Linked DNA regions of Diceros bicornis minor. The protein of the gene in region 2 purifies or fractionates together with the protein of the main gene of each other region. This does not show direct contact. Links are inferred from orthologs where the notes say so. Each region holds a gene or a part of one and is shown on either strand. Other genes may lie near its edges.

Evidence for each region.
Region 1: the proteins of TP53RK (region 2) and GON7 purify together in Homo sapiens (affinity purification with mass spectrometry; 5 studies listed by BioGRID and IntAct, counting the BioPlex papers as one, with this or other methods). This does not show direct contact. The link is inferred for Diceros bicornis minor from reciprocal best matches to the Homo sapiens genes TP53RK and GON7.
Region 3: the proteins of TP53RK (region 2) and OSGEP purify together in Homo sapiens (affinity purification with mass spectrometry; 5 studies listed by BioGRID and IntAct, counting the BioPlex papers as one, with this or other methods). This does not show direct contact. The link is inferred for Diceros bicornis minor from reciprocal best matches to the Homo sapiens genes TP53RK and OSGEP.
Region 4: the proteins of TP53RK (region 2) and LAGE3 purify together in Homo sapiens (affinity purification with mass spectrometry; 5 studies listed by BioGRID and IntAct, with this or other methods). This does not show direct contact. The link is inferred for Diceros bicornis minor from reciprocal best matches to the Homo sapiens genes TP53RK and LAGE3.

Annotation. Positions count from the first base shown.
Region 1 is NC_080763.1:38,867,488-38,874,874, forward strand, and holds GON7 (EKC/KEOPS complex subunit GON7), read right to left. Parts: upstream 3,324-7,387; 5' UTR 3,290-3,323; coding exon 3,082-3,289; intron 600-3,081; coding exon 505-599; 3' UTR 183-504; downstream 1-182. Other genes in the region: putative E3 ubiquitin-protein ligase UBR7, read left to right, coding at 3,545-3,694, 5,898-6,031, 6,492-6,552. UniProt on the Homo sapiens protein: Component of the EKC/KEOPS complex that is required for the formation of a threonylcarbamoyl group on adenosine at position 37 (t(6)A37) in tRNAs that read codons beginning with adenine.
Region 2 is NC_080758.1:14,772,941-14,780,952, forward strand, and holds the start of TP53RK (EKC/KEOPS complex subunit TP53RK), read left to right. Parts: upstream 1-4,676; 5' UTR 4,677-4,707; coding exon 4,708-4,990; intron 4,991-6,587; coding exon 6,588-7,066; 3' UTR 7,067-7,083; exon of another isoform or gene 7,084-7,176; intron 7,177-8,012.
Region 3 is NC_080744.1:28,852,217-28,860,461, reverse strand, and holds the start of OSGEP (tRNA N6-adenosine threonylcarbamoyltransferase), read right to left. Parts: upstream 3,031-8,245; 5' UTR 2,505-3,030; coding exon 2,390-2,504; intron 897-2,389; coding exon 777-896; intron 1-776. Other genes in the region: APEX1 (DNA-(apurinic or apyrimidinic site) endonuclease), read left to right, coding at 3,516-3,573, 3,779-3,966, 4,532-4,724, 4,864-5,381; PIP4P1 (type 1 phosphatidylinositol 4,5-bisphosphate 4-phosphatase), read right to left, coding at 6,455-6,598, 7,087-7,177, 7,282-7,334, 7,544-7,649, 8,103-8,209. UniProt on the Homo sapiens protein: Component of the EKC/KEOPS complex that is required for the formation of a threonylcarbamoyl group on adenosine at position 37 (t(6)A37) in tRNAs that read codons beginning with adenine.
Region 4 is NC_080781.1:138,416,487-138,423,079, forward strand, and holds LAGE3 (EKC/KEOPS complex subunit LAGE3), read right to left. Parts: upstream 2,539-6,593; 5' UTR 2,465-2,538; intron 2,346-2,464; 5' UTR 2,087-2,345; coding exon 1,878-2,086; intron 1,556-1,877; coding exon 1,427-1,555; intron 1,184-1,426; coding exon 1,069-1,183; 3' UTR 862-1,068; downstream 1-861. UniProt on the Homo sapiens protein: Component of the EKC/KEOPS complex that is required for the formation of a threonylcarbamoyl group on adenosine at position 37 (t(6)A37) in tRNAs that read codons beginning with adenine.

The DNA.
Region 1 (7,387 bases), on a different chromosome or scaffold from region 2:
TCCGAAACCAGGCCACCAGTAGCGGAGCTCGTGCACTTAACCGCTAAGACACGGGGCTGGCCCCCTGCCATTCTAATATTTAATACCCAATTTTCACCACTTGCTTAAGTCAGTTCTTTGAGATGTTACTGCCCCTGAACCATGACTGTACTTTTTATAACAGAAGCAGAAGCTGAAAGATGTAGACATCACACAATTTAATTCAAAGATTAAAAAGTAGAAAACAATAAAAATTCAGTTGCCAACTTAAGAGGATTTTACACATTAAGTACTGTATTTTATTTCCATGATCTGAAACTTATTTCTCACTCAAGAAAACAGATACATTTCTAAACATTTATTATATCTTTTTTTGATGGAAACAGACAAGACAGTTCCTTGACAAAACTGTCCCAGGAGAACAAAACAAATGCTTTTCCAAATTAGAGCACAAGTCTTCTTTAAATGTCAGTATGAGATAACTAAGTTATAGTAGCAGTCTTTTAAACTTCATAAAAGCTATTGTTAAGATGGTGGTTTCGGCCGTTTTGCAGATGGTCCATCTGAGTTAGTTCTGTTATCAATGTTATTTTCATCTTCCACATCATCTTCATCATCACCTTTTAAAATAAATATTTGTTGTATGACAATATGTTCAGTGCTTGAAAGAAATATAGATAGCTAAAATGGTTGATAATGAGACCATTTCACTTTAGGGGTTAATAAAACCATGCATATATCAGATCTGAAATATGTATGGTTAAAAAGATTTCAGGGGGGCCGGCCCGGTGGCGCAAGCGGTTAGGTGCGCGCGCTCCGCTGCGGCGGCCCGGGGTTCGCTGGTTCGGATCCCGGGCGCGCACCGACGCACTGCTTGGCAAGCCATGCTGTGGCGGCGTCCCATATAAAGTGGAGGAAGATGGGCACAGATGTTAGCCCAGGGCCGTCTTCCTCAGCAAAAAAAGAGGAGGATTGGCGGATGTTAGCACAGGGCTGATCTCCTCACAAAAAAAAAAAAAAAAAAAAAAGATTTCAGGAATTTTGGTGTTTAAAACCTTTCTTTTCTATCACTGTTTTTGGAGATATAATTCATATACCATAAAATTCACTCTTTTAAAGTATAAGGTTTATTGATTTAGTATATTCACTAGGTTGAGCAACTGATCATCACTAATTTCTAGAACACTTGCATCATCCCAGAAAGAAATCCCACACCCTTTAGCAGCCACTTCCTATTCCTCTCAGCCCTTGGCAACCACTAATCTACTTTCTATCTCTACAGATTTGTCTATTCTGGTCATTTTATATAAACGAATCATAAAATATGCGGGCTTTTGTGTCTGCCTTCTTTCACTTAGCATGTTTTCAAGGTTCATTCACATTGTAGCAGTTATCAGTACTTCATTGGTTTTTGCTGCTGAATAACATTCCATTGTATCAACATGCATTTTGTTTATCCACTTATCAGCTGGCGGACACTTGTGTTGTTTCTACTTTTTAGCTATTATGAATAATGCTGCTATGAACATTCATGCATACGTTTTTATGTGAACGTATGTTTCCAGTTCCCTTGAACTAGGAACGGAATTGCAGGGTCATACAGTAACTTCATGTTTAACTTTTTGAGGAACTGCCAAACTGTTTTCCAAAGAAGGTACATTTTACATTTCCACCAGCAATGTATGAGAGCTCCAATTTCTTCACATCCTAGCAACACTTATTGTTCTTTTTGATTATAGCCATCCTAGTGGGCATGAAGTGGTATCTTATCGTGGTTTTGATTTTCGTTTCCCTGATAGCCAATGACGTTGAGCATCCTTTCATGTGCTTATTGGCCACTTGTATATCTTATTTGGAGAACTGCCTATTCAAATCCTCTGTACATTTGGTAGATGGATTATTTGTCTTTTTAGTGTTGGGTTCTGTCACTTTTCTTTAGTAAGTCTTATAATTTTAAAACTTGGTATATTCATATAAGTTAAAATTCGTCATTTTAATCTCTGTCACTTTTAACAATGGAAATCCAAACCTAAGCTTTATGGGGACTTGTTTAAAGATACAAAAACATGTCCATCTATACAAAGACATTACACCATTAACAGAACAGGTGGCAGTTATTTCTGCAGTAAGTAATGACAAAATTTTTTTTTAAATGGCTCTAACTATATTCATTCTCATGCCAATGGTAATATTTTCAACAGATTAGGAGAGGTATTTTGGAAGCAAGAAACAGGATTTCACTCTCATGGAAACAACCTATTGTCTGAACTTGGTGTAATGTTCTGAATTGGCTCCTTCAAATTATCTGAAACTATCAAGATGAAAACAAGATGGAAAGAAAAAAAGTACAGTACAGTTTAAGCTCCTCTACAAAAAAGCTAAGTCCTGACTCCAATATTCAGTTTTTAGGTTCTTCAGCTCAGGGCAATCAAATGTCCCTATTTTTGTATTTAAGATGAGACTTAAAAAAAAAATTAATGCAGCTAAATTTCCCGCTTTGACTTTCAAACTTCACAAACAAAACTGAGAAAGGGAAGGAGTCCCTGCGAGTTCAGACTTGCTCAACTGAAATCTGTTCCAATCTTCGGAACCTGCTCCTATTCTGCGATAGATGGCAGCCTTCCAAACATGTTTGTAATTTCACACCTGGGAAAACTCCCTGTCATCCTTCAATAGCCAGCTTAAAAGTCACGCCCTCTCTGAAGCCTTCCGGGGTTCCCTGGGTTTGCAACAGTTACAGAAGGCCCTGGGGTCACACTCGCCCTTTTTACCCAGAGTGTCTACCTGTCTAACCGCTCACCAGAGTGAGAGTTTCGCAGGTAAAGGAACCGAGTCGCCTTCACCTCATTCTTTCTCCAGGGCTCAGCCCCATGCCTGACACCTAGCAGGAGGCGTGCAGCACGTTTTTTGTGATATAAATGAAGAATCGCGAAAACGCTTGGGTAAGAAGCAGCCCAGATTAATCAGCCCAAATACAGCGGAAAGTGCCAACGTCTTTTAGGAAAAACTTCTTCCCCTGAGGCTCACTTTCTCCAAGTCTGCCACTCTCCACGGGCGCCCCTGCCCCGCCCTCCTGTCGCTCCACACCGTCTCAGAGCTCACCGTCCAAGGCCTCGTCCGGTGCCACCGCCTCCCTGTCCTGCGCTTCCCGCTGTACCAGGGGGCCGAAGAGCTCGGCCACCAGCTCCCTCATCTGGGCCACTCCCGACAACAGGCTCTGGAAAGGGTCGGCGTCGCCGGGCGCCTCACAGGGCACCCGCAGCTGCCGCTGCTGCCCGTCCTGCCCAACATACTCGCCCAACAGCTCCATGGCGACCGCTGAGTTTCCAGAGCGCGTCACAAGGATGCGCCACCCGGAAGCGGAAGCCAGCCTACGGCGGGCGCGGGCGGGAGAAGGGAGGGGAGTAACTTCCGTTCATCGGAAGTCGCTCCTCCCCCTTCCTTCACCTCCTTTCTTTGGGATTGGTTCCTGGGACTCAGGCCCCGCCTCCTCCGGCCACGCCCCCTCGAGGCCGCTTTTCCCGCCTCCGCAGGGACAGAGCGGCGGTCCTGGTGACAGTTGAGCATGGCTGGAGCGGAGGGGCATGCTGGGCGGCAGTCGGAGCTGGAGCCCGTGGTATCGTTGGTCGACGTGCTTGAGGAGGACGAGGAGCTAGAGAACGAGGCGTGCGCCGTGCTGGGCGGCAGCGACTCCGAGAAGTGCTCCTACTCGCAGGTGGGCGCGCGGCCCGGGCGTGGTCTCCCCCGGGCTCCGCTGAGCCTCCTTTTCCCGACCGGACTTGCCCTGTTCCCGCCTGCCGCGGCCCGGCTCCCCCGTGCTGGTGCGGGGCCGCCGTTCTTCGTAGGCTCCCCCATGCCAGGCCCAGCTGCCCTTTTACCCTCAGCCCCTGGGCCCCCTTTCTCAGCCCCTGTCCAGCAGAAGCCCCCTCGTCCATCGGTCTGCCTCCGTCCGGCCCCTCAGGATTCCCGAGGCTCTGGCCCTGGAGCAGCTGCTCTGTCCTTCCTCTCCCGTTTCTTCTCGGCGCCCGGCTGCTTTTTACGAAACCATCCCCGTGACCTCTCACAATTCAGACATCTTTGTCCCTACTTTTCCGATCCTAAGAGTATTTATTGGGAACCGAATGGGAGAGTGAAAGCAGAGTTAAAGGAGAAAGGTCTGGATTTGAAAATCTCCCTGTGTGGGCTGGGCTCCTTGACAGCTAGTTCCTCTGCAATTTAGTTTGACAAGTGCTAGCTGGTAGCTTTTTGGCGAGACGAAGCAAGTACTGTGTCTGGCTGCCGTCTGCCCCCCATGGGGATGGACCTGAACCAGGACAGCAGGTGGCACTGGCAAAAGAGGAGAGGGGAAGAGGGAAGGAGCTACTTGAAGAGGAAATTTGGCACTTGGAAGATGTGAACAAGGATTTGAGGGGGTGTGATGTAGTGTTTGGTGACTCATCCGATATTTCTAGGTACAAAAATGGAGAAAGGTGGGTAGAAGAAAACTAACAAGGGATGAGAATTGGTAGGAGGAAGAATGTTACTTTCCAGGGGGGTGGAGTGGAACATTGGGGGATGAGGAGAGAGACTTGGGGTCATTATGTGATGTGGACTGAGATCATAATACCAGTTGTCACCATTGGCCAGTCAAGCTTACACTGCCAAATGGTTAGATTTTTGAAAGCACCTGGTATCTAGAGATAGTCCCAGGTGTTGGCTGGTATTTTAAAACGTTTGGTCACCACCAAAACAACTTTTTCTCTGCTTTCCTTTTTTAAAAAAAGCCTGTACATGAGCTATTTTTGAAATGTAGTTAGCTTTGTAAAACAGACTTCCTTAACGTTTTCGTTTTTTATTGTAGGAAAATGTATGGAAAATTACACAGAACATGTGTAGGGCTTGAAAAACAAACACACATATGCAGTTACCTACCACCCAGATCAAGAAATAGAACATTACTGGCATTCCAGAAGCTTCCTTGTGTCTCCCTTCTTCCTAGAGGAGGGTAACCATTGTCAAGATTTCTAAAAGTTTTGCCTGTTTTTCCTTCAGCTTTTTATTTTGAAACATTTTAAATCTACAGATAAGTTGAAACACCTTTGTACCTCTTACACATATTCACTTTTTAACATTTTACCACATTTGTTTAATCTTTCTCTTCTTCGTAATATACTATTTCCTGCTGAACCATTTGAAAATAAGTTGCAGATATCATGACACTACACTTCTAAATACTTCAGCATGCATCTCCTAAATATCAAAGGGATTCTTTTTTTTTGTGTGAGGAAGATTAGCCCTGAGCTAACATCTGATGCCAATCCTCCTCTTTTTGCTAAGGAAGATTGGCCCTGTGCTAACATCCGTGCCCATCTTCCTCTATTTTATATGGGATGCCGCTACAGCATGGCTTGACAAGCGGCACCTCGGTGCGCACCCAGAATCTGAACCAGCAAACCCTGGGCCGTCGAAGCAGAGCACTAGAACTTAACTGCTACACCCTCAGGCCAGCCCCTCAAAGGGATTCTTTTAATGCATTGATTTTCTCTTTGGTGGAATCACAGCATTTTCCGAAATTAAAGTGTGGTGTTCCTTACATAAACCTACACACATTCTCCTACATTTTCATGTGTTACAGTCACTAAACAGACCTGCTTATTCATAGCTGACTGAGAATATTAAACTTCCTATCACTTTAAGAAAAAATTGTATGAAAACAAGCACTAATGTAGTAAATATATAGTGATCTGAAACATGCAACAATGTTTTGGTACTCTCTCGTGTAAGCTTTCTTATTAGTCTTAGTGGTTTTTACAGGAAGATCTTGACCACACATAATCTGATTTCAGTTACTTCTCAGATCACATTATGGGTATTAGGTAACCATGCCATATTTAATTAATTTATTCTCTCTCTTTTTCCATTTTGGGGCTGTCTTTTAGGGCTCAGTAAAGAGACAAGCACTGTATGCCTGTAGTACTTGCACTCCAGAGGGAGAAGAACCGGCAGGAATTTGCCTAGCTTGCAGTTATGAATGCCATGGAAGTCATAAACTATTTGAACTATACACAAAAAGGTAAAGACAATTAGAGATTGGTGCTGAATGCTTTTTAAATGTTTAGATTCTTTCCAAGCTGCATTTTTTTCTTAATCTTGCTTTTCCATTCAAAGTAATTGTGCACGGGTAAAATTTAATGTAATTGTCTTATATAGTATAATTGGACAGAAGAGTTTTTCCAGAGGGCTTTTTAAAATACAATTATGGAACAAACTGAAACTACTCATCCTTCTATGCCATTATTTTACTCGTGTAAGTTACAGATATTTGTCTTTATGCATGTTAATTTCAAGAATTATTAAATCTTTTATCGTTATGTGCTTGGAGAAATTCCAAATTGGATACATGAACAGCAACCAAGGCCACTTTTTAGATCCCAAAAATGAGTTGAAAGGGAAGAGACTATGATATGAACTTAAAGAGTAGGTCATTAGATTTAAAAGAAAAATTAAAATTGGCTCTTCCTCCTTTGTTTCAGAAATTTTCGTTGTGATTGTGGAAACAGCAAGTTTAAAAATTTGGAATGCAAATTATTTCCTGTAAGTAAGCACTGTAACTATAGATGCATTGAAAGTAGCTGAGATTGATATTTGCCAGAGTGGGTAAAAATCAAATATTTTCCACAAAGGAAGTTCTTATGCTTATTCTTGGCAAATGGGCAAATCAATATTAGACTGTATTCCAGTTTTTATCCTGTTGGAAAGCTAAGTAACCTGTTCAGAGCCTACAGTATAGATTGTAATTAATATGAAAGGTTTGGGCGAATGTTCTTTGAAGTGATTCAGGTTTAGTTATGTTGATTGTACTCATGCTCTAGGACTTTTAAAGCAGAGGGTATGACTAAAAATTGAATAAATATGGGGCCGGCCCCGTGGCTTAGCGGTTAAGTGTGTGCGCTCCGCTACTGGCGGCCCGGGTTCGGATCCCAGGTGCACACCGACGCACATCTTGTCCGGCCATGCTGGGGCAGCATCCCACATACAGCAGTTAGAAGGATGTGCAACTGTGACATACAACTGTCTACTGGGGCTTTGGGGAGAAAAAGGGAAAAAAAGGAGGAGGATTGGCAACAGATGTTAGCTCAGGGCCGGTCTTCCTCAGCAAAAAGAGGAGGATTGGCATGGATGTTAGCTCAGGGCTGATCTTCCTCACAAAAAAAAAAAAACTGAATAAATAATTTGATAATAATGAATATGGGCTAGTTGCACACAGGAGTTTTTACTGCTTTTTGGCTAATAAAAACTATGCTTATATGATAAGTTTTAGTGAAATAACAGAAATGAAAGAGAAAGTAAGGGATTTTGCATTGTTCGATCATAATTGCCAAAACTGTCATGCTTTTCCCCTCCTTTGAAACTTATTTTTAGGCAATTT
Region 2 (8,012 bases):
ACAGCCCATGAGGAACTAAATCCTGCCACTAATCAAATAGTCACAAAAACAAACACAAGAGACAGTCTGTGACAATGTAAAGGAAGGACACCAGAGCTTATAAAAGTTGGATTTGCTCTCCTCTGAGAAGTCAGGGAGGGCTTCTCTGAGGAGGTGACATCCTTCCCTGAGGAAGGATGTCTAGATGGGTCTTGGCAACAAAGGGAGGGAAGAGTACTTCTGAGGTGGGAAATAGGAGATGCAAAGGCCCTGTGGCAAGAGGGAGCCTGGAAAGAATGAGAGACCGAGAGAAGGTAAATGTGTTTGAAGATCAGAGAGCAAAGGGGAGTTTGGTGTGAGATGAGTCTATAGGAGTCCCAGGCAGGGTCTCACGGGTCTTTATCCTAGGCACAATGGGGAGCCATTGAAAGGTTTTAAACTAGGTTTCCTACCACAGAAGGCAGAAGCAGTCTGACCACAGCATGCCTGGGACTTGATATTGTGTTTACACAGTGGGTTTTCCAAAGGAGGGGTTCAGACAGCTTTGGTAACCATGGAGATGGCTGTGTGGACATTAACAATTATGATAATGAAGCCACAAACTTGGGAAACTGGGTATTATAAATAGAATTGGTTCTGGGTGAGCTTTGAGTAGTCTGGGCTGATGAAAGGTGCTGGAAACCACATGATGCCAACACAAAGGGTCTGATGTTTGAAAAGGTGACCTGCCCTGTGTGTGAATGAAACGCAGGGACTGTGGCGCTGAGGGTTGGTCTCATAGCAACTCTGGGACCAAAGGGCCTTTCTTCAGTATTTCAAACAGGGTCCCAACGATGGGGGAAGGGACATGCACATAGGAAGAGTGTATGCTATCCACCAGGCACCTTCATGAGCAACAGCTTATTCAATCTTGATAAGCAATTGCCAAAGTAAAGCTAATTATCCTCGTTCCGAAGATGACGACTCTGAAACTCAGAGAAAGGATGTTTGTCGCTGCATGGCACAGTGTGACAGGCACTTATGGCTGCCTCCCCAGTGGCTGTGCCCAGCTCCCTTCCTCCTTGCTTACAGAGCACATCTCCACCTATAGGGGCTGAAAATGCCTGATCCTCATTTTTGCAGCTTCCTCTGCAGCTAAAGCAAAGACACATGGGCCAATTATGGCCAACGTCCTGTAGAGGAAGTCTGATGGGAGAGGAGCGATTTCCAGCAAAGGGTTTCTCCCAAATGTTTTTGTGTCTTCATATCATGTGTGGAACTCTGGTGGCCATCTTGTGACCATAAAGTGACAAGTGTAAGGACCAAAGCAACCTACTGAGGCTGGTGAAGGGCATGAATATATGAGGGTAGAAAGATGGAAAGACCATCGAAATCATAAGGTGACTGAAGGATGCCTGAGACTCTGTACTTCTTAAAATTTTGTTCTGTGAGATCATCAGTGAACTTGTTGTTTACCCAAGTAAGCTAATTAGTTGACTCATCTCTTACTTGCAGCTTCATATATCAAAACTGTGGCTGTCTACTAATTGTCCCCCATATAACTCCTCCCCTACTTCCTTTTAGTAATAATTCCCCTAAGTTTTAGCTAAGTCCATGGCTGCCCTGCTAGAGAATACATTTTCCAGCATCCTTTGCAGAGTCATGGGCCATGTGACTAAGTCCTGGCCAATAGGATGTGAGTGGAAGCGATGTGTGGAACTTTGGGCCACATCCTTAGCTGCTTGTTCTCTATGGCCTCACGCCCAACCTCCTCCTTGCCAACTGCAGAGGGGGACAAGGGAATAGACTCAGAGAAGGTAGCAATGGGTTAAGAATGACAGATCTGGACTGTTACATGAAAGAGAAATAAACATCTCTCATATTTAAGGCACTGTTTTTAGGTTACTTTATTATAGCAGCTTATCCTGTACCCTGCCTAACTAATACAGTAACCAAAATGCACAGCCATTCAGTGGTGGGACAAGTCAGAGTTCTTGTTGTAAGACACACAAACTGCCTTGCTCCTGCGTCTGAGCACTGGCAGCCAAGACATGGGGTAAACGAGGGGCTTCTATGGCAGGACGTGGTCCCAGTGGTCCCCTAGGACACCACACAATGGGGAAGGCCCCTTCCCCCCCGAATGGTGGTTGGATGATGGAAGTCTACTTACAATAGCTACTATATTAAGCTACTATATTATGCCCTCCATAAACAATAACAGTTTTCATTTATGGAATGCTTGTCATATACCTGGCATAGCTCTGTGGCTTTTACCTCTAGTTACTCATTTAATCCTCACAAAAACCCTCCAAGATAGATATTATCTACAATCTTATTTTATAGATGATAAACCAAAGCCCAGAGCAATTAAATAACTTGCTCTTCTTCAAACATGCCAAGCACACTTCTGCCCTAAGGCCTTTGCACCTGTTAGTCTGTGCCTGGAATGCTCTTCTCCCAGGAATCCATTCACGAGGCTCAAATGTCACCTTTTCCTTGAAGCCTTCTCAATCACCTTATTTAAAATCCTACCACTCCCCACTGCCCTGCCACCCTGCACTCTACTATCCATAGGGTGACCACATAATTTATCACCCAAACTAGCATGCTTTTAAGAGGGAAGGGGGGACACTTGTTATGCCAGGACAACAGGTTACAACTGGGGCCATCCCTGGAAAACTGGGATGCATGTCATCTTAGCCATCCCCCTTCCCTATTTTATTTTTCTCCATAGCACCTATTACCCTGGGGTATCATCCTTATTTATTTGTTTTTTTTCTGTTTCCACCTAGTAGAATGTAAGCTCCATGAGGGCAGGAATTAGTTTCCATTTTATTCACTGCTGTGTCCCAGGCGTTAGCGCAGTGCCTGGCCTAGAGTAGTCACTCAATAAATGTTTGTTGACTGAATCAGTGAGTGAGTGAATGAATGGGCATCTGGTGCTGATGGGTAGGAAGTCTCCTTCAGGGCCAGCCTTAGGCTCAGAAAGGGCTAGGGCCGAGAGACGAGCCCTCTCCCCACCATGCTCCGCTGCTTGGCTATTGTACCTAGAACCTAACTGCCCATTCCGCAGCCAGAAGTGGAGGCCTTGAAGGGCCATGCCTGTGCAGTCACCCCAGCCTCGAAGCACCTCCCTTCCAGCAGGAAGAGCCCTTTGGGACACTGCTTCTCCTCCTGCCCTTCCAGCTCCCAGCCTGTCCCCAGCACCAGCTTGCTCCAGCCACATGGAGCTGCTGGCCCGTCTCTCACCCAGCCCCGCCCTGTCTGTTCTCTCTGCCTGGAACCTGAGCATCCTCCCACGACTCCACTTGGTTGAGGGTGGAGCAACCTGGGAACCTCAGTGAGGGCAAAGGTACGGGAAGTGAGATATACACTCGACAGGAGTGTAAATAGGCACAAAACTGGACAGGGCAGTTTGGCTGATGGATCACATTTTAAAATGCTCATCTTCTACGTCCCAGAAACATCAATTTTAGAAAGACATCCTCAGCAACACTCATGCATGAGGTCAAGGATGCCCGGATAAGCCTGCTCACTGCAGCACTATTTGTGAGAGAGCAAAAAAAAAAAAAGAGAGAAAAACAAAACAAAACTGGAAGCAACTGTTTAGCAACAAGGATGGGGTAGCTCTATATGTACTGATATGGAAAACTGTCCAAGATAATTGCTTAGGGGGAAAAAAGCAATTTGCCAAAGAACGTGCAGTATGCTCTCATTTATATTGGGAAAAAGCCCATAACTATGTGTGAGAGTGCAGGTGTATCAGGAAAAAAATCTGGAAAGAAACTGTATACAACGGTTGGTGGTGGGACAGACTGATGACCATAGGCATTTTGATTTTTCGTGTGTGCAAAATTCTGTATTGTAATAATGATGTACACCTGAAATTTATATAATGTTATAAACCAATGTTACCACAATTAAAAAATAAATAAGTAGAACTAAAAAAAAAAATTCTGCATTGTAAGAGTTTGCTACAGCCTGTATTGGCTTTGCAATTAAAAAACAGATACAAACAGTAAGAGTTTGTCTGTTAATCACTCCCAATTCACCTTAGGTTCTATCTCCTCTGGAAAACTTTCCCTGATCCCACCTGCCCAGCAGCCCCACCATCCCCACCACCCTCTTTGAGTCTCAATTATTTTTTTCTGTAAGATGAGTTTTCATCATTTAGCCTTATTACTCCTTAATGCACTTAAACGGTAGATATTATTATCCCACCACTAAAGACGATGTTAGACTTATTGTCTACCTGCCACCCCCGACTCTGACTACCGTGAGCCCCTCTTGAGGGGAATTCAGGAGCCAACGGACGCAGACGTCCAAAGAGAGAACTCCCGGTACCACAGCTTCATAGGAGCCAGAGAGACTCCTGGAAAAAGCCGATTTCGAACCGAAGTTTTCCGGAAAGAGCCGAAGAGCTGGGAGGCGGTCACCAAAGCCGACCGCGAGAGTCACGGAGGACTTCGGGAGAGAGCCGAGGCGTGGGATGAGGGACTTACCGAGAGTTGCCGAGGGTTTACGGAGATAGCCGAAACGTGGGAGGCGGGGCCACAAGAGCCTTTCCGAGGGGCAACGAAGGCTTCGAAAAGAGCCGAAAGGTTCGGAGGCGGAACCGCTTCCTCAAAGCGGAAGTGTCGGCGTTCGAGTGGCCGCAGAAGCCCGAGGATTTCCGGAGCGAGCCGAAACCTCTCCGACAGGTTCCGGAGAGAGCCGAGGGATACCGAGGGGCGGCGCTGAGGCGCAATCATGGCGGCGGCTGGTGTTGCTGCGGCTGAGAAGGACGAGGAGCCCGCGGCGGAGGCCGAGGCGCTGGCCGCGGCCCGGGAGCGAAGCCGCCGCTTCCTAAGCGGCCTGGAGCTGGTGAAGCAGGGCGCCGAGGCGCGTGTGTTCCGCGGCCGCTTCCAGGGCCGCGCGGCCGTGGTGAAGCACCGCTTCCCCAAGGGCTACCGGCACCCGGCGCTGGAGGCGCGGCTCGGCCGGCGGCGGACGGTGCAGGAGGCGCGGGCGCTGCTCCGCTGCCGCCGCGCAGGTGAGGCGCCCGGGCGGCGCGGGGAGGGGGCCCCTGAGCCCGAGCCGCCATCTGCCTCAGTTTCTTCCTTCGTACCTTCTGCCGTATTTTGGCATTAGGAAATGCCCTTTCATGCCTGTCTGCATGCGTTCCTTCCTAAGCCGCTGGGCCTGCAGCGACGGGCGTTTGTCCCGCAGCCCTTGCGCCTGGTCGGTTCCCGGCCCTGCCACCCGTGCTCGCCGTCGAGCATGTTCTCCCACCGCCCCGAGCCTCGGTGTACCCGTTTGTGCTGCCTCGGTTTGCGATCGTTATCTTCTCATCCATCACTTTTAAGAAGCAGATGTAATTACAAGGACGTGCCCGGGAGCCAGGCTCTCTGGGTTCGGATACTGACCCCGCTGCTTCATATGGAGCCTTTCAACACGTTGCTTAACCCCAGCCTCAGGTTCCTCCTTGTAAAGGGAAGTCCTAGCAGCAGTAGCCACCTCGTAGGCGTGTTGGGACCATTAGATGAGGTGTGTATGCCGTGTGTTCGGTTTGGGTGTATGACTGGCACCTACCGCTCGGTAAACGTTAGATTTCATTAAATTCATTAAATTGTGTGTTTCTTCATTAAAGCATCATTGTGCACCACCACCGTAAGCCTTGTCCTCAGATGAGTTACTGAGGATCAGAGAGGGGAGGTAACTTGCCCAGGGTGACACAGCCAGGCGCTCAGCCCGTAGCCCTCTGACTCAGAAACACTGGCTTTTCACTTCTACACGTCCTGCCTTTCTTTCTTTCGTTGGTATATTTTAGGCGCCTGCTGTACCCCGAGACATTGTTAGGTGCTGGGAGATCTGGAGGAAATTCAGTAGTGAACAAGCAGACACATCTCTGCCCTTGCTTGGATGTAGTGAAGTTACTTGTGTGGTCATGTCTTCTGTTTTCACCCTCTGTGGGGGATAAGTTCAATTAAGCAGGGATGTGGCTGCCTTGTTTCCTGCAGTATCCCCCCCATATGTCTCCAGTATCTAGAAAAGTGTCCTGAACATGATGACATTCAATAAAGATTCACTGAGTCTTGGAGTTCAGTGAATTCATTGAATTATAGGCGGTGTTGTTCTCATAGTGTAAAAGCTGAAACAGAGGCTTGGAGAAGTTAATGCGACTTGAAGGTTATACGGTTACTGAGGAAAGGAGCTGGGATTTGCACCTGTCCTGCCTGATGCAGAGACGAATCTCTAGGCCAGCACACTGCGTGGCCTCCTGTTTGTGTCCCTGTCAGGCAGAACCTGCTCTGACCGCTCTGTTTTCTCTTCTGGCTCTTCATTTTGTTTTGTTTTTTAGGGGATGAGTATCACAGATGAAGTCCAATCATAAAGGGTGGGAAGGAGGAGGGAGCTGTGGCATTACAAACCGTAGCTGTGGGTGGTCTGAGGCACAGGCTTGCAGAGCATGAGCAGGGGAAACTTCCAGATGGGTTAAGTTGTACCATTCTGCAGCAGTCCTAAGTCGTCTTCCTGAAATAAGCAGAGATAGACTATAAAAAACAGGCTCAATCTTTGAAAAGTAAGCTTACCATTAAAAAAAAAATAAAAAGAATCTAATCCAATAGCCACTTGTGTCTTGATTACAGGGATATCTGCCCCAGTTGTCTTTTTTGTGGACTATGCTTCCAACTGCTTGTACATGGAAGAAATTGAAGGCTCCGTGACTGTTCGAGATTATATTCAATCCACTATGGAGACTGAAAAGACTCCCCAAAAGCTCTTCAGCTTAGCCACGACAATCGGGCAGGTTTTGGCTCGAATGCACGATGAAGACCTCATTCATGGTGATCTCACCACCTCGAACATGCTCCTGAAACCCCCCCTGGAACAGCTGGACGTCGTGCTCATAGACTTTGGGTTGAGTTTCATTTCAGCACTTCCAGAAGATAAGGGAGTTGACCTCTACGTTCTAGAGAAAGCCTTCCTCAGTACCCATCCCAACACCGAGACTGTGTTTGAAGCCTTTCTGAAGAGCTACTCTGCCTCCTCCAAAAAGGCCAGGCCAGTGCTAAAAAAGCTGGATGAAGTGCGCCTGAGAGGAAGGAAGAGGTCCATGGTTGGGTAGAAGAATGTGTGTGACAGCTCCAGACAGCTAAGCTGTTTACTTCAGAGTAAATTTGAAGGAATGCTACCAAGTTGAGATTAGATCTAAATAAAGTTGTTGAGGTATTTTTAGGTGCTGTCTGATAATGCTTGTTAAGTGTCATTATCTCTGCGGTTGGCTGTTAGCAAGAGCTTACTGTGTGCATAAGACACGTTCTAGGCAGAATTGGGTATTTAAAATAAGTCTAGGACAGGCTTATACCTCAGGTTTGTGGGCAGGCCGTTATAAAACTTCAAACCACATAAAGAGAACATTATTCTCTTCAGTCCTTCTGGTGAGACAAGGACAAAGTCTCAGTTGGTGACAGTATGTCTTTATCAGCCCTCTAACGCAGCATTTTTTTTTGATGTGTTCATGACATATTCCTCTTAAAACCAGTATAGTGGGATAGAACCAGTATTTTAAAAATGAAATAGAATCAGAGACTAGAAAATATCATGTGCATTATATGTGGTATTGTAAGTATTCTTTCATGAAACTTGTTTCAAATGTATATAGACAAGGGTCTATACTGGGTTTTGATGTAAAATATATATATATTTTTTTTTTGGTGAGCAGGATTGGCCCTAAGTTGACATCTGTTGTCAGTCTTCCTCTTTTTGCTGAGGAAGATTAGCCCTGGGCTAACATCTGTGCCGATCTTCCTCTATTTTGTATGTGGGATGCCTGCAATAGCATGGCTTGATGAGTGGTGTGTAGGTCTGCGCCTGGGACCTGAACCTGCGAACCCTGGGCTGCCGAAGCGAAGCGTGCGAAGTTAACTACTACGCCACTGGGCTGAACCCCAAGATATATTTCTTGTTGAGGGGCTGGCCCCGTGGCCTAGTGGTTAAGTTTGGCACGCTCCACTTTGGCAGCCCGGGCACGGACCTACACCACTTGTCAGGAGTCATGCTGCAGTGACCCA
Region 3 (8,245 bases), on a different chromosome or scaffold from region 2:
AACTTTAAAAGATGAGGAGTTGCTTCTTATGGATGAGTAAAGAAAGTGGTTTCTTGAGATGGAATCTACTCCTGGTGAAGATGCTGTGATGACTGTTGAAAAGACAACAAAGGATTTAGAATATTACACAAACTTAGTTGATAAAGTAGCAGCAGGGTTTGAGAGGACTGACTCCAATTCTGAAAGAAGTTCTACTGTGGGTAAAATGCTATCAAAATAGCATGGCATGCCACAGAGAAACCATTCATGAAAGGAAGAGTCAATTGCTGCAGCAAACTTCATTGTTGGTCTTATTTTGAGAAACTGCCCCTCAGAGAGAAGGGGCAGAACCAGGGTGACCACAGTGAGTACCTGGCCAGGGCTTGTCTTGGGCCCCAGCCCCAACCCCCCTAAAAAGAGAAATTGCCCTAGTCACCCCAACCATCATCAATCACCACCATCATCAGTCAGCAGCCATCAACATGGAGGCGAGACTCTCCACCAGCAAAAAGATTATGACTTGCTGAAGGCTCAGATGATGGTTAGCAATTTTTAGCAATAAAGTGTTTTTTAATTAAGGTACGTACATTGTTTTCTTCAGACATAATGCTATGGCACACTTAATAGGCTACAGTACAGTGTAAGCATAACTTTTATATGTACTGGGAAACCAAAATACTTGTGTGACTTGTTGTATTGCGATATTAGCTTTATTGTAGTGGTCTGGAACCAAACCTGCAATATCTCTGAGGTATGCCTGTATATTCTTCCACTGGCGACCACGCTCCCAGCCATACCTTTGGTGTAGGCAATGCAGTCAACATCCTGGGAGGTTAATCCAGCCTCTGTTAGTGCCTCCTGCAGCAGGTCCAGGATAACGGCTCGGTGGTGCCTGGCAGTATCACCTGGAAGGAATCCTAGGAGATGGACACAGGTCAGAGATCATAGGGCTTTTCTATAGCAAAGGTAGGTAGAAGTAAAAAACAGGCATTTTAGTAGTGTAAGAAGAGTCCCTTTCACTCTCCTCATGCATCCTGTCTTCCAGGTTTTCAGATCTACTTCTTCCAGCCTGTTCAGCCATGCTGAACAGCTCTCAGAAATGCCCTTCTTCATACTCAACTCCTACTCAGCCCTCAGGACTTAATTCAAGTGACACCTATCTCATAGCCTTTGGAGATCTTCTCTGCAAGCCTACAGAACCTTGTGCGTGATCACATCATTGTATTTAACAAATAACTATTATAGCATTATAATTATCTGTGGTTTCCCAAGTTTTAACCATGAGCATCTCAAAGCACTGGCTATTTTATTTATCTTTGTATTCCTGGTGTCAAAATGCTTAGACGAGTGAGTGCTAAACATACACATGTATTGGTTTTTGTTTTTTTTTTACTTTTGTTTTTTATTCATTTTATTTTATTCTTTTTTGTGAGGAAGATCAGCCCTGAGCTAACATCCGTGCTAATCCTCCTCTTTTTGCTGAGGAAGACCGGCTCTGAGCTAACATCTATTGCCAATCCTCCTCCTTTTTTTCTCCCCCAAAGCCCCAGTAGATAGTTGTATGTTGTAGTTGCACATCCCTCTAGTTGCTGTATGTGGGACACGGCCTCAGCATGGCCGGAGAAGCGGTGCGTCGGTGTGCGCCCAGGATCTGAACCCCGGGCCACCAGTAGCGGAGCACGTGCACTTAACCGCTAAGCCACGAGGCCAGCCCCACATGTATTGTTAATGAGTAACCTGTCACAACATCGCCTGTTCACGGAGGCTTTTCAGGTATATGCAAGTCAATTACCCTTCCCTATGTATGCAGGTAATTTGGAGGAGGATAGGCAAGACGTAACATCATAACTTACAAATAACATTTATTACAAGTGCAATGTGTCTGGTACTTTTATTTAATTCTCAAGACCCAATGACCCAGGTACTATTATTATTCCCATTTTAAGAGTAAGGAACAGAAGTCCAAAAACAAATACTGAACATGAATACTGCAAAGCCAGCCAGTTCTGTCTGACACCTAAGCTGAGAGTCTTTAAACTTCTTCTCATTCTAGAATATTTTGATTGCATCTATATTACACTATTTACCGTACTGTAAAGTTCTGTTTATATGTCGGATTCCATAGCAGGCTCACAACACCTATTTTTGTATCTAGCAGCCAGCTGATTATTAGCACATAAAAGGCACTCAATAAAAGCTGAATGTACCCAAAAGATCCAGGTCCAAGTGCCTGCGACTCTTCTATTATCAGCCTTGTGACGTTAATACTGTCAGAATCTCAGAGACTCGGATCAAAACTCTACGAAGCGGACAATGCGCTCCACTCCCTATGTCACTAGTGTTTGAGGAGGAGGAAGGTCATGCTGTGCAGAGAAGCGCGCCGCAAACTACAAATCCACTACTCACGCACCTGTGCCCGGAGGCGTGACGTAGGTCCGCCGCGGGTTCGCCAGCACCGTGCCATCCCGCACCACTCCCACGCCAATCTTGTTGGCGCTGCCTTCAAAACCCAGCACCGTAGGCATGGCCAAGCTTGAGAGAAAATGCCGGCAGGGCTCCTAGCTGCCAAAGGATCCGCGGAGCCCTCACCAGGCCCTGCAAGGTCGCTGATTCCGGAGCGCAAAGAAAGACCACGAGCAAGCCGCCGCTAGGTAGCGGCGCGCACAGACAGACACTAAAGTACTCCTGCGGGTGGCGCGCCCGCGCCGGCCCCGCCCCCGTGTCACGGCGACCCGTCAAGGCCCCTTCAAGGACCTGTCCTCCTAACTGCCAGAGACGCTGAGCCGGCATCTCCTCCGTACGTTCCCATCCGTTCTTCTGCCTCTCTCCCGCGGTTCAGCCCAGGCTTCTCCACTGATTTTCTCCCTCTTGCACAGTGTTGGGGTCTTCGGCCAAGGTGGCAGAATGAGTCGGGCATCTGGCACACCGATAAACAGCCCGAGGATGGAGGGTTAGGTCCTTCCGATTCCGGGAGACAGGGCGAAGGGCGGGAAGGCCGAGCTGCCCCGTCATGTGGTGCCAGACAAACCAATCACCAGCATTCCTCCGCCACCTAATACATACCTCAGAACACGTGACCACGCCAGTTACCCACGTGGGGCCACAACGTGCTGCATTCTTTGTGCTCGGGTGAGGAGGAGCCAGGCTGGGACTCGGGGAGGTCAGATCCGGGGTTGCTGTTCTTTGCCCATCACAGGGGCTTCTCTGGACGTCTGATCGGCCAGCCTAAATCGGCACCCTTAATTAAGGCCCTGGATTGGCCGGAGGGCAGATCTCGCGAGGAGGGTACAAGGCAGTATAGAATGATCTAGTCTTGTGGGTGAGGGGCTGAAGGGCCTATAGTGCGCGGAGGCGGGGAAAGGATTCTGAGATAATATGGTTTCAAAGGCGGGACCTAGTGCGAGGGCGCCCGAGGGAGGAGTTTTTTCCTCAGCCTCAGCTGGTTTCATGATTTCTTTGCGTCTGTAGGCAACGCGGTAAAAATACTGATTCGGTGGGCGACGCGGAACGGGTGCCGAAGGGCGTTTGTTACAGTGATGCCGAAGCGTGGGAAAAAGGGAGCGGTGGCAGAAGACGGAGAAGGGCCCAAGACTGGTAAGAGAATGAAATGAGCCCGTCTCCCTAGAGGCTGCGATGGGGTGTTTCTAATTGCTCCGATGAACGGAAGTAGGCCAGACTAAATATATTTTTGCCGAGTTTCTGAAAAAGGCGCGGCAACTGCAGGCTGTGGGTCTGTAGTTAACTCTGGATCAAAATTAAATACCGCCAAGTTTTATCACTATGTATTACTCATTTATAGAGCCAGAGGCCAAGAAGAGTAAGGCAGGAGCAAAGAAAAACGAAAAAGAGGCAGCGGGAGAGGGACCAGTCCTGTATGAGGACCCCCCAGATCACAAAACCTCACCCAGTGGCAAATCAGCCACACTCAAGATCTGCTCCTGGAATGTGGATGGGCTTCGAGCCTGGATTAAGAAGAAAGGTTTAGATGTGAGTGCAATTCAAGGAGGGGAAGAGACAGCCTTTAGTATTGAATGATCTACGGGTTTAATTGCCTTTTCTCATTTTAGTCCCAAGCATGTAGGTTTTATTTTTCCCTTATTGGTAGTTTTCTTGGGGGAGAGGCACAAGGAGGGCCTTCACCAACTCATACCAGTTGTATTTCCTAAAGGTCCATTCCTTCAATTCCCTTAGCATTGTTTTGATGTCCTCATCTCTTCCCCAGCATGTTGCAAAAACCTTGTTACTGGACTTGCTCCATTTTATCTCCAGCATATCCTCCATTTAAATTACTGCTTAAAAATCTCAGCTGGCTATCCATTGCCTGTAGAAAACCACATCTCAGTGTTGCCTGTACCACTCTCCCTACCTCCCTCCATCAGTGGCAGTTACATAATTTATCATTGTTTAAATTATTTAAATATTGTGCCTAGACTGTTACACTCCTTTTCCACAAGGACTGTCTCACTTGTGTATCTCTAGTACTTAGAACATAACTTCTTCAATAAATGTCTGCTGAATTGATGATACTTTTTCTACCTGTCATTTCACTCAGTGGGTAAAGGAAGAAGCCCCAGATATCCTGTGCCTCCAAGAGACCAAATGTTCAGAGAACAAACTACCAGCTGAACTTCAAGAGCTGTCTGGACTATCCCATCAGTACTGGTCAGCTCCTTCAGACAAGGAAGGGTACAGTGGTGTGGGCCTGCTTTCCCGCCAGTGCCCACTCAAAGTCTCCTATGGCATTGGTGAGACCCTATTGATTCCTAACGCCTGAGCTCTTTCAAACCAATTGCTAATACCCGACTGAGCCCCAATTCTTGATTCCTTTATTCTCTGTTTTCCCTTTTATACCTCTTTATTCTGATTGTTTCATCATTTCTGTAGGTGAGGAGGAACATGATCAGGAAGGCCGAGTGATTGTGGCTGAATTTGATGCATTTGTGCTGGTAACAGCCTATGTACCTAATGCAGGCCGGGGTCTGGTGCGCTTGGAGTACCGGCAGCGCTGGGACGAAGCCTTTCGCAAGTTCCTGAAGGGCCTGGCTTCCCGCAAGCCCCTTGTGCTATGTGGGGATCTCAATGTGGCTCATGAAGAAATTGACCTTCGTAACCCCAAGGGAAACAAAAAGAATGCTGGCTTCACGCCACAAGAGCGTCAGGGCTTTGGGGAATTGCTGCAGGCTGTGCCACTGGCTGACAGTTTCCGGCATCTCTACCCTGACACGGCCTATGCCTACACCTTTTGGACCTATATGATGAATGCACGCTCCAAAAATGTTGGTTGGCGCCTTGATTATTTTTTGTTGTCTCACTCTCTGTTACCTGCATTGTGTGACAGCAAGATCCGTTCCAAGGCCCTGGGCAGTGACCACTGTCCCATCACCCTATACCTAGCACTGTGACACCTCCCCCAAATCACTTTGAGCCTGGGAAATAAGCCCCCCAAACTAGCTTTAAAACTTCTTACCCCCGCTCCCAAACTTCTTTAAAAACTGCTCTCTAGAGAAATCTGCACTGTATTTTCTTTGTGAAAATATGAATCCTTCAACCAGGCTCCTAGTGACAGACTTAGGTTTTCTTTAAGCCAGAGGTTTGGTTTTGTTTTTGACGGGTTTTTTTTTTTTTACATTAAACAAAAGCTACTGATGACTTCCTTGACCTGTCCATGTGAAAATAAAGAGCCATAGTTTCAGCCTTGCTGTCTTTGTATTCTACCCCTTTGTAGGGCTACAAATTCCCCTCCTCATCTTTTCATACGTATAGATTAACAACTGGAAAAGGACAGTCATAACCTTATTTATTTACAAGCACAGGATGAGTCCCTAACTTCCCCCAACAGAGAAGAACCCTACCCAGCCCAGTTAAATACTGCAACTGAGAGGTAAGGTTAGGAGGAATGAAGGAAAACACAGGACTAGGGGAACATACCCCACATTAAATAGTTATATACACATCAGTTCCTGTGGTTCTGTACAGAGCAGCAGCTGACCCCACCCCCACAGGACACAGAATGGGGGGAGAGGAGACTGAGGGTACTGAGGCCAGAGCCAGCCCCTGGTGAAGTGCAATAGCAGCAGCAAGGTCCTAAGAGTGCACAAGAGGGAGGGAAACCCCCAGGGCTACCCACCCCGACCCTGCCCTGGAATGTGTAAGGGACAGGAATGGCTCTTGGGGAGCACATAGGAAGAACGAGGCTAGAACCGTCTTTTAGGGCCCAGGTTTAAGGGCAACATTTCACCTACTTCACTCTCAACAGCAACCCCTGGGGGAAAGCAGATGGCCAGCAGTGGTCTTATCTACCCTTCCAAACCTAGGTGAGGGCCTGGTTCCTTCCTACCTCTCCCCAGGGAAAAGGAAGGCAGCTGCTCGGCTCCTCTTACAGAAGCCCTGGGGAGCCTTTTACCACGGCTCCCTCTGTAGTGTCACTGTCCCCACCAGGGAGGGGCCAGGCACAGTCTGTGGGTCGTCATGGGGCTCAGGAGAAGTTCTGGACAGGGTGGCTGACCTTCATACAGGCCCAATAGAGGGCCCGGCCCAAACACAGCACAGCCAACAGGATGACAAATGCCCAGGCTGCATAGATGCCTCCATATCGCCGTGCATGCTTCCATGTGCCAAACTGATGAAGGTGAAGAAGAAAAAGAAAGATGGGGTTACTGCTGATCTCTCACCACTTTCTAGGAGCCCCGGTAACAGTAACACAGAACTCAAGCTTCAGTTCCTGTTCCCTGTCCACATGTAGGCACCTTCAGGGACCTTTTTAAAGGCCCAGTTGTTCAGCTCCCTCCTCCTAGGCAGGAACATAACTCATACAATCCTAGACAACTGTCAGATTTTCTCAATATCTTAGGTTTCCTAATACCAACTCTTTAATTTAAGCCATTTCTCTGTTGTCCTATCCTCTGCATAAAAAAGATGGCTGGTTTTTACTCCTTTAGTAACAGCGAGGACTGTTTATCAGTTAGTTCAACTTCAGCTCATCTGCACATTAAAACAAGACAAAACAACCCAGCCCTCAGTTTCACTTTTTTGGGGAGTAGCCATTTCCCAAATCTTAGCCTGTGGAGATGAGGCTGAAGAATGAAGGGTCTGATCAAGGTTACTCACAGCAAGGCCAGTGGCAGTGATTGCCAAGAGTAAGCCAAGCAAGAAGCAGCAGATACATCTCTTTCGTGGATATCTGCGCCCAATAGATGACCTGTGGGGAGCCAAACAGAAATAGACGCTTGTAATGACCCTGTAGTTTTCACTCTACACATTACCCCATTACCAGCCCAACGATGCCACTCTTTAATCACTTACACTTTCCTGCAGTGAGGGCAACGGGCCAAGGTTCGATCTGTGAACTCTGTCCACTATGGAGAAAGAAAAAGGGAGAAAGCAATTAATAGTAGAAGCTTTAATAGTAGAAGTCATCTTCAATAAGAGCCCTAGGGCAGGGAGAGGGTGAGAAATAGGTCCTCATAGAACAGACCTTTTCAGGATTCATTATCATCATTCAGAAATATATTCATGATTACTCTTGTTTTTCTTTTTTCCAGGGCTTCCCAATATCTCTCCTCACCAGAAAAGTATTCTTGCAATGTCCACAGATGACCCTGACACCCACGGGTTGTGGTTCTGGACTCAGAGGCCCTGGATGCACAGGCCCAAGATTGATGATTCTTTTGCTGTACAGGAGAAAAAGACTATGTTCAAAATATTCTTAATCCTAAGGATCCCCACGCTATCCTTCCTTCACATCCCCTACTCCCTGCCTCTCTGAGTTCATCTACTTCTCTGTGCATTTAAGGCTCTGCCCCCCAACCGTACCCCAGAGAATCATTGAAGAAGAGCACTGTTTAAACTTCAGGTCTCTAATTCCTCTTTTACTTTAGGATAATTCTCCCAGTCCCCGAGACTCTCCGTTCTCCTAAAGGAAACCATTTCATCCCAATCTTTTTATTGAGAGATGAGAAAGATGGCTATGACATTCTAGAGACACCATAGTCCTTAGCTTTTTCTCCTTCTAAAAAAACACCAGGCTCTCTCACTTTTACCTTCTCTATAAACATTCATCCTTTTTTTAGCTTTCCAATTTTCCTCACTAGGGAAAATGCCCTTCCCCACCTTATGCCTCTTACCAATAGGGCCTAGGGCAGGCAATCCGCTGGGAAGTCACTTTGCAGATAAGGAGACAGTTACAGGGGCATCGAACATATTTTTTCCCTGGGGGTGCATTCTTGATAGGCTAAAGAATAATGGGGACATCAGTAAGCAAACCTGT
Region 4 (6,593 bases), on a different chromosome or scaffold from region 2:
CGCAGCCTCAGCATGGCCAGAGAAGCGGTGCATCGGTGCGTGCCCGGGATCGAACCCTGGCCACCAGCAGCAGAGCGCACCCACTTAACTGCTAACCCACGGGGCCAGCCCAATGCAAAGATTTATATACAAGAATTCCATTGAATCATTACCTATAATAGGGCAAAAATTGAAAATAATTTAGGGGCCGGCCCCGTGGCTTAGTGGTTAAGTCCGTGCGCTCCACTACTGGCGGCCCGGGGTTCAGATCTTGGGCGCACACTGACACACAGCTTGTCCGGCCATGCTGAGGCCGTGTCCCACATACAGCACCTAGAAGGATGTGCAACTATGACATACAGCTATCTACTGGGGCTTTGGGGAGAAAAAGGGGAAAAAAGGAGGAGGATTGGCAATAGATGTTAGCTTAGCGCCTGTCTTCCTCAGCAAAAAGAGGAGGGTTGGCGTGGATGTTAGCTCAGGGCTGATCTTCCTCACACACACAAAAATAATAATTTAAATGTTCAATAATTACAATTTATCTTTTATGCATTTATTCAATAATGCTTTTGAAGAATTTTTAGAAAGAGTGAAAGTTCATATTAGATGAAAAATATCAGGAAAAATCCTAAACTTGCAAAATATCATGCATTATATATTATTATTTACTATAGAAATACAAGTATAAAAGTAAGAAAATATTCCAAAATGTTGACAGTAGTTAATACTGAATGACAAGACCCACCTTCTTCCATTTCCTAAATTGTCTTCAATTGCCTTGTCCTACTGGACTATCTGAATCCCAGAACCGCCCCCGCACCATGAGGACAAAGACAAGAATATTAGGAGGTGCAGTAGCTGAAAAGGAACTCAGACACGGAATAGCTGCTCAGTTTTATTTTCTGCTGTAATGAACACTGAATCACCAAACGAAACAAGTGGACCCTGAGTGCCCAAAGGCCAGTAAAAGCAAAACATCAGGGCCCCATAATAAAGTGGCAGCGACTGCAGCAATCTTCCGCCTAGGAAAGATGCACTGCCTTGGAAGGGACAGGAGGTTAGACCTTAGCCCCCTTTCCCAGCCCAGGCTTAGCGGGAAACAGGGGGCCCAAAGCACTGCATGGTCCGCATCACCAGGGAAAGCTGGTCAAGAAAGTTGATGATGGAAATTCGGAGGAGGCGAGAATCTTCAGCTTTCCAGCGGCTAAAGTGAGGGGAAAAGAAAATCAATTTGGACGCGGTAACTCCTCCCCTTCCTCGCTCTGCCTCTCAGGCATCCATTACACCGAATCCTTTGCTATGTGCATTAGAGCGCCCCCTCAGACGGAGACGGGTCTAGCGGACCATGTCCCCTCTCTAGACCTAACCCGTGTCTCCGTGTCTCCAATAGAGCGCCCCAGGTGGCCTGGACACCCGCTGCTAATCCTACCCAGCCCCGAGAATTTACACCGCCAGGACGCTGCCAATCACTGTGAGCTCCTTCCGAACCGCCCCTCGGTGGGGTTCCGCATCTGGGGTCAGGGACCCATGGGCGATCTCCGCCTCCAAGGGGGACGGGAAAGGCACGCTGAGGACGCTGGAGATTCGGTTAAGGCACCATCCATAAAGACTCTGTGCCTCGGGACCCCTCTCAGACCACCCTGACTAGTCTCACTCCTTCCAGGACTGCTTCCACCCCCTCCAGACCACCCGTGGCCCTAGTCCTCCCCAGCCACCCCGTTCCCCTTTACTCTCATTTCTTTCCCCCCCATACCAATCCCAGCCCCAGCCGTCCCCGGTTCCCCCCCGCTCCCCTTTCCGCCCCCAGGCTGCCACCGACCCATCTGTCCCTCTGCACGTCATTCCCCGCCCGCAGGCAGCCCCCAGACCATTCCCCGCTGTCCCCTCCGGTAGGATACAATATGTGTAGTCGGCTTTCTGGCCTTCTGGCTGTGGATGTGGCGTCTCCACCTGGCCCTGGGGCGTGCTGTGCTCGCGTAACACGCGGAGCTCCCCCGGCTGCAGCGGTCGCCGCGCCTGCACCGCCGTGGAGGCCGTGGCCACCCTCGCGGTCCTGGCTCTCGGCACCGCCCGCCGCACCGCCTGCGCCTGCGTCTGCTGCCTGCATGGCCGCCGCGCTCCGCCTTCGACTCCGCCCTCTCTGCCGGAGCCTAAGGAACTGTGGCTCCTTCCCAAAGCTCCGCCCCCTCACGCTGACTCCGCCCCGCACGCCTGCGCAAACAGGCCCTAGTGAGGCCGCCGGGCGCGTGGTGGATTCCCGCCAAAGCGACCATCCTGGAGGCTCTCGGAGACTCCGTTGGCTGCTGAGAAACTGAGGCTCCCTGCAGAAGCCCCACTCCTTCGCGCATGACTCGACCCCAGGGCGCCTGCACAAACAGGCCCCTAGTGAGGCCTCAGTTCCTGCCCAGCAGGCCCTGCCGCCCGCGGGCCCCGGGAGACCCCATGGCTACCTAGCCAATGAGCAGTCCCTCACCAAGCTCCGCACCTTAGTGCCCAGTGCCACGGGGGATCCCCACAGCGCCTGCGCAAACAGACACCCTCTGATTCCTTGGAAGGACGACAGGTTCCCGCCCAGCCAGGCCTGCCACACCCCGAGACATCCCGTTGGCTACCTAGCCAATGAATGCTCCTTCATGAAGCTCTGCCCCTTAGAACGACATGTGACCCCAGCGCGCCTGCACAACCGGTCCTGCCTCGCCACCTCGCTCCCCCGCCCCCCCCCCCCGCCCCGCAAGACCTCGTGTGAGGGCGCCAGATGTGTGGCCGGTTTCCCGCCCTATCTCTTTCCCAGAGCCAATACCCCCAAGAGATGTGGCTCGATGTCCTGGCAGTGATTTGTGGAGGGAGGTGGAATTGGATAGTCCCCGAGGGATACTGCTCTGCACCCCGCCCCATTGGCCATGTAGGTGGAGAAACCAAAGGGGAATTTAAAGGGGGCAACAACCCCATCAGATTTTATTTTTAGAAAGATCACTAAGTGGGCCGTGTGGAGGTCAAGCCTGCCAGCAGGGAGGCCCCCATGGAGGCAAGAAGACAAATGATAGGGACCTGAAATAAAGTAGTGGCAGTGAGAACCATCAGAATGCAAGACTAAAATCACTAAAATCCCAATTAGGGAAATTACTGTCTATATGCATAGAAATCCTAGAACAATACAGCAAAATGTAAACACTTGTTATCTGGATGTGATGGGATTGTGTTGTTAACTTTTTTGTGTTTTCCCCAAACTTTAAAAAATTTTTTTTATTTGTTTATTTATTTTTCCCCCAAAGCCCCAGTAGATAGTTGTGTGTCATAGCTGCACATCCTTCTAGTTGCTGCATGTGGGACGTGGCCCCAGCATGGCCAGAGAAGCAGCGCGTCAGTGCACGCCCGGGACCCGAACCTGGGCCGCCAGCAGCAGAGCACACGCACTCAAACGCTAAGCCACGGGGCCGGCCCTCCTCAAAATTTTTGACAGTAATCTTTTATGACATTTTTAATAAAAAATATGTTTTTAAAGTGACATGAAATTTTTGGTGGTGATTGTCGTTGCTTTTCTATTTTCCTCCTTTGGAATCAAAAGGAAGGACATGAATCTGAACTATATCATCAAATCTCGTTGGCTCTCTCCTCAAAATAGATGCTAAATCAGCCAACTTCTCTCCCTTTCCGTTGCTAGTCCCCTGTGGGAGCCACCGTCTCTCTCTGAACTCCTTCAACAGCTTCCTGACTGGTTTTCTTCTACCCTTGCACCTCTGCAGCCTGTTCTCTACACAACAGAATCGGTTCTTAATTTTTAATATAAATCACATCATATCATGTCCCTGCTTAAAATCCTAAAACGATTTCCCATTGCCCTTGGAATCAAATCCAAACTCCCTGTCATAGCTTATAAAAGCCCTGTGTGACCTGGCTCCCAGTTCCTCCGACCCCACCTGCCTGCTTTCTCATTCTCTGCAGCCTCTGGGGCCTTCTCTCTGCTACTGACCAAGGGTGGCCTGCCCTCAGCCCTTTGCACTTACTCTGCTATTTGGAAGACTATGTCCCCAAACTCTCCCATGGCTAGCTCCTTTTTGTCATTAGGATCTTGGCTCCAATGTCACCTCTGAGAGGGCTTCTGGATCACCAATCTGACATACTACCCCCAGCACGCTTCTTCATATTTGCCCATTTCAATTTGCTGCATAACATTTCTAATAATCTGAAATTATAATTTCGTTTTGTTCTCTTCTGTATTGTTGATATATCATCACTGGTATGTGTTCAGTGCAGTTTATGCAGTAGGTGCTTTGTTGTTTGTTGAATGAAACAGAGTATTAACTAAGTACAAAACTGGAGCACTGCCTTGGAACCAGCAATCCCGCATGTAGGATGTTACTTCACAAATATGAAACAACACATTCACAGAGCCACTCACTGTAACATAATTGGTAATGGAAAACTATTGGACACAAGGTACATGTCTGTCAGCAGGGAACTGGTGAAATAAACTATGCTACATTCATACAATAGTCCTAAGCAGCAGTAAAAAAGAATGAAAATCTTTAATGAAAAATAAAATGATCTCCAGGATATATTGTTATGTGAAAAAAGCAGAGTGCAAAGGACACACACATGCTTATTGGAAAAAAAGAAAAGACATAGGAAGAAGAAACGCAAAACTAATGAAAATGGTCACCTCTAGGGTGTTCAGATGGGTATGGGATTTCTTGGAATATACCTTTTTGTGTACTTTTGACTTTGAACCATGTGAATATTTTATGTGGTCAAAAATACATTTGAAAGAGTGAAAAAAATCAAATGCTAAAATTGAATAAAAACAAAAACAAATGAGCCTAACTGCATATCCAATTGATAACAAAACCACACAGAAAACAATTTAGGTGCCTTTCAACTCAGCTCTCTGACTGGACTGCTTTCATGGGATGTATTCTAAGAACCAAAAGAATTGGCTTTCCTCTTAGTATGTTCGTCGTTGGCAATGGTAGTGATGAGGTCAGTGTGGAGCTCTTTGGGGTGTGCTTTAACATAGACTCCACCCGGTAGAGCAAAAGAGTAAATATATGGATGTCGAGAACCCGAATTCTCACTGTGGAATGGGGGAAGGTGAGAAAGAACTGTGATGCTGGATTGGAATTAGGGATTGCAGTATGAACTCTTTTTTGTGTGTGTGTGAGGAGATCAGCTCTGTGCTAACATCTGCCAATCCTCCTCTTTTTTTTTTTCTGCTGAGGAAGACTTGCCCTGGGCTAACATCCGTGCCCATCTTCCTCCACTTTATATGGGACGCCGCCACAGCATGGCTTGACAAGTGGTGCGTCGGTGCACGCCCAGGATCCGAACCGGTGAACCCTGGACCACCACAGGGGAGCACACGCACTTAACCACTTGCGCCACTGGGCCGGCCCCGCAGTATGAACTCATAAAAATATATATTTCTGGGACTGGTCTGGTGGCATAGTGGTTAGGTTCACGTGCTCTGCTTCGGCGGCCCAGGGTCCACAGGTTCGGATCCAGAGCACAGACCTATGCACTGCTTATCAAGCCATGCTGTGGCAGGCGTCCCACATATAAAGTAGAGGAAGATGGGCACAGATATTAGCCCAGGGCCAATCTTCCTCAGCAAAAAGAGGAGGATTGGCAACAGATGTTAGCTCAGGGCTAATCTTCCTCACACACACACACACACACACACACACACAAAAAATATATATATATATATATATATATATATTTCCTAGTTCGAGCCAGTGAAAAAGTCTAGAAGCAGTGACACCCCAGTAGCAATGAACACACCCTGCACTCAGACCTTGGTTTCTCAGTATCGTTCTCCACTCAAAGGACCAGAGCTCCCTGGAGAAATGGTGGATTCGGGCCGGCCCCGTGGCTTAGCAGTTAAGTGCGCGCGCTCCGCTGCTGACGGCCTGGGTTTGGATCCCGGGCGCGCACTGAAACACCACTTCTCCGGCCATGCTGAGGCTGCATCCCACATACAGCAACTAGAAGGATGTGCAACTATGACGTACAACTATCTACTGGGGCTTTGGGGGGAAAAAAAAACAAAAAAGTAATGGTGGATTCTAGGGCTGGGGTAAGAAATACACAAGCTGAGCCTGGAGCACCTTGTAGTGCCAGAAAGTCAGGAAGTGCTTGAACAACAGAAGCATGAGGCATGTCAAAGGGACTCAGGAACTAACCCGAGAGAAGCAAAGCTAGAACAACTTGAGCATCTAAAAGAATATGAACGATTTTGGAGAGGAGCATGACTGGGAGGGGGCACCAGGGAAGGTGCTGGAGTGCTGGTGGTATTCTCTATTTCAGTCTGGAGAGGATAGATACATAGGGTGTTCACTTTAAAGGTCCATTGCACTGTACAGTGATATGATTTATGCACAGTACTGCATGAATGCTGTAGACCAATAAAAATGACCCCAAAATGACACTCTTGGATTCTAAGTTGTTGAATAAAAAAAAACGATGCATCCACCATGATAATTGAGAAAAGAGAGCAGGGGAAAAGGAAAGCTCTTCATAGAGAAATGCCAATTAACAATTGTAGAAAGAAGGAAAGCATCAGAGGGGCCAGCCCCCTGGCCTAGAGGTTAAATTCAGCATGCTCTGTTTCAGCTGCC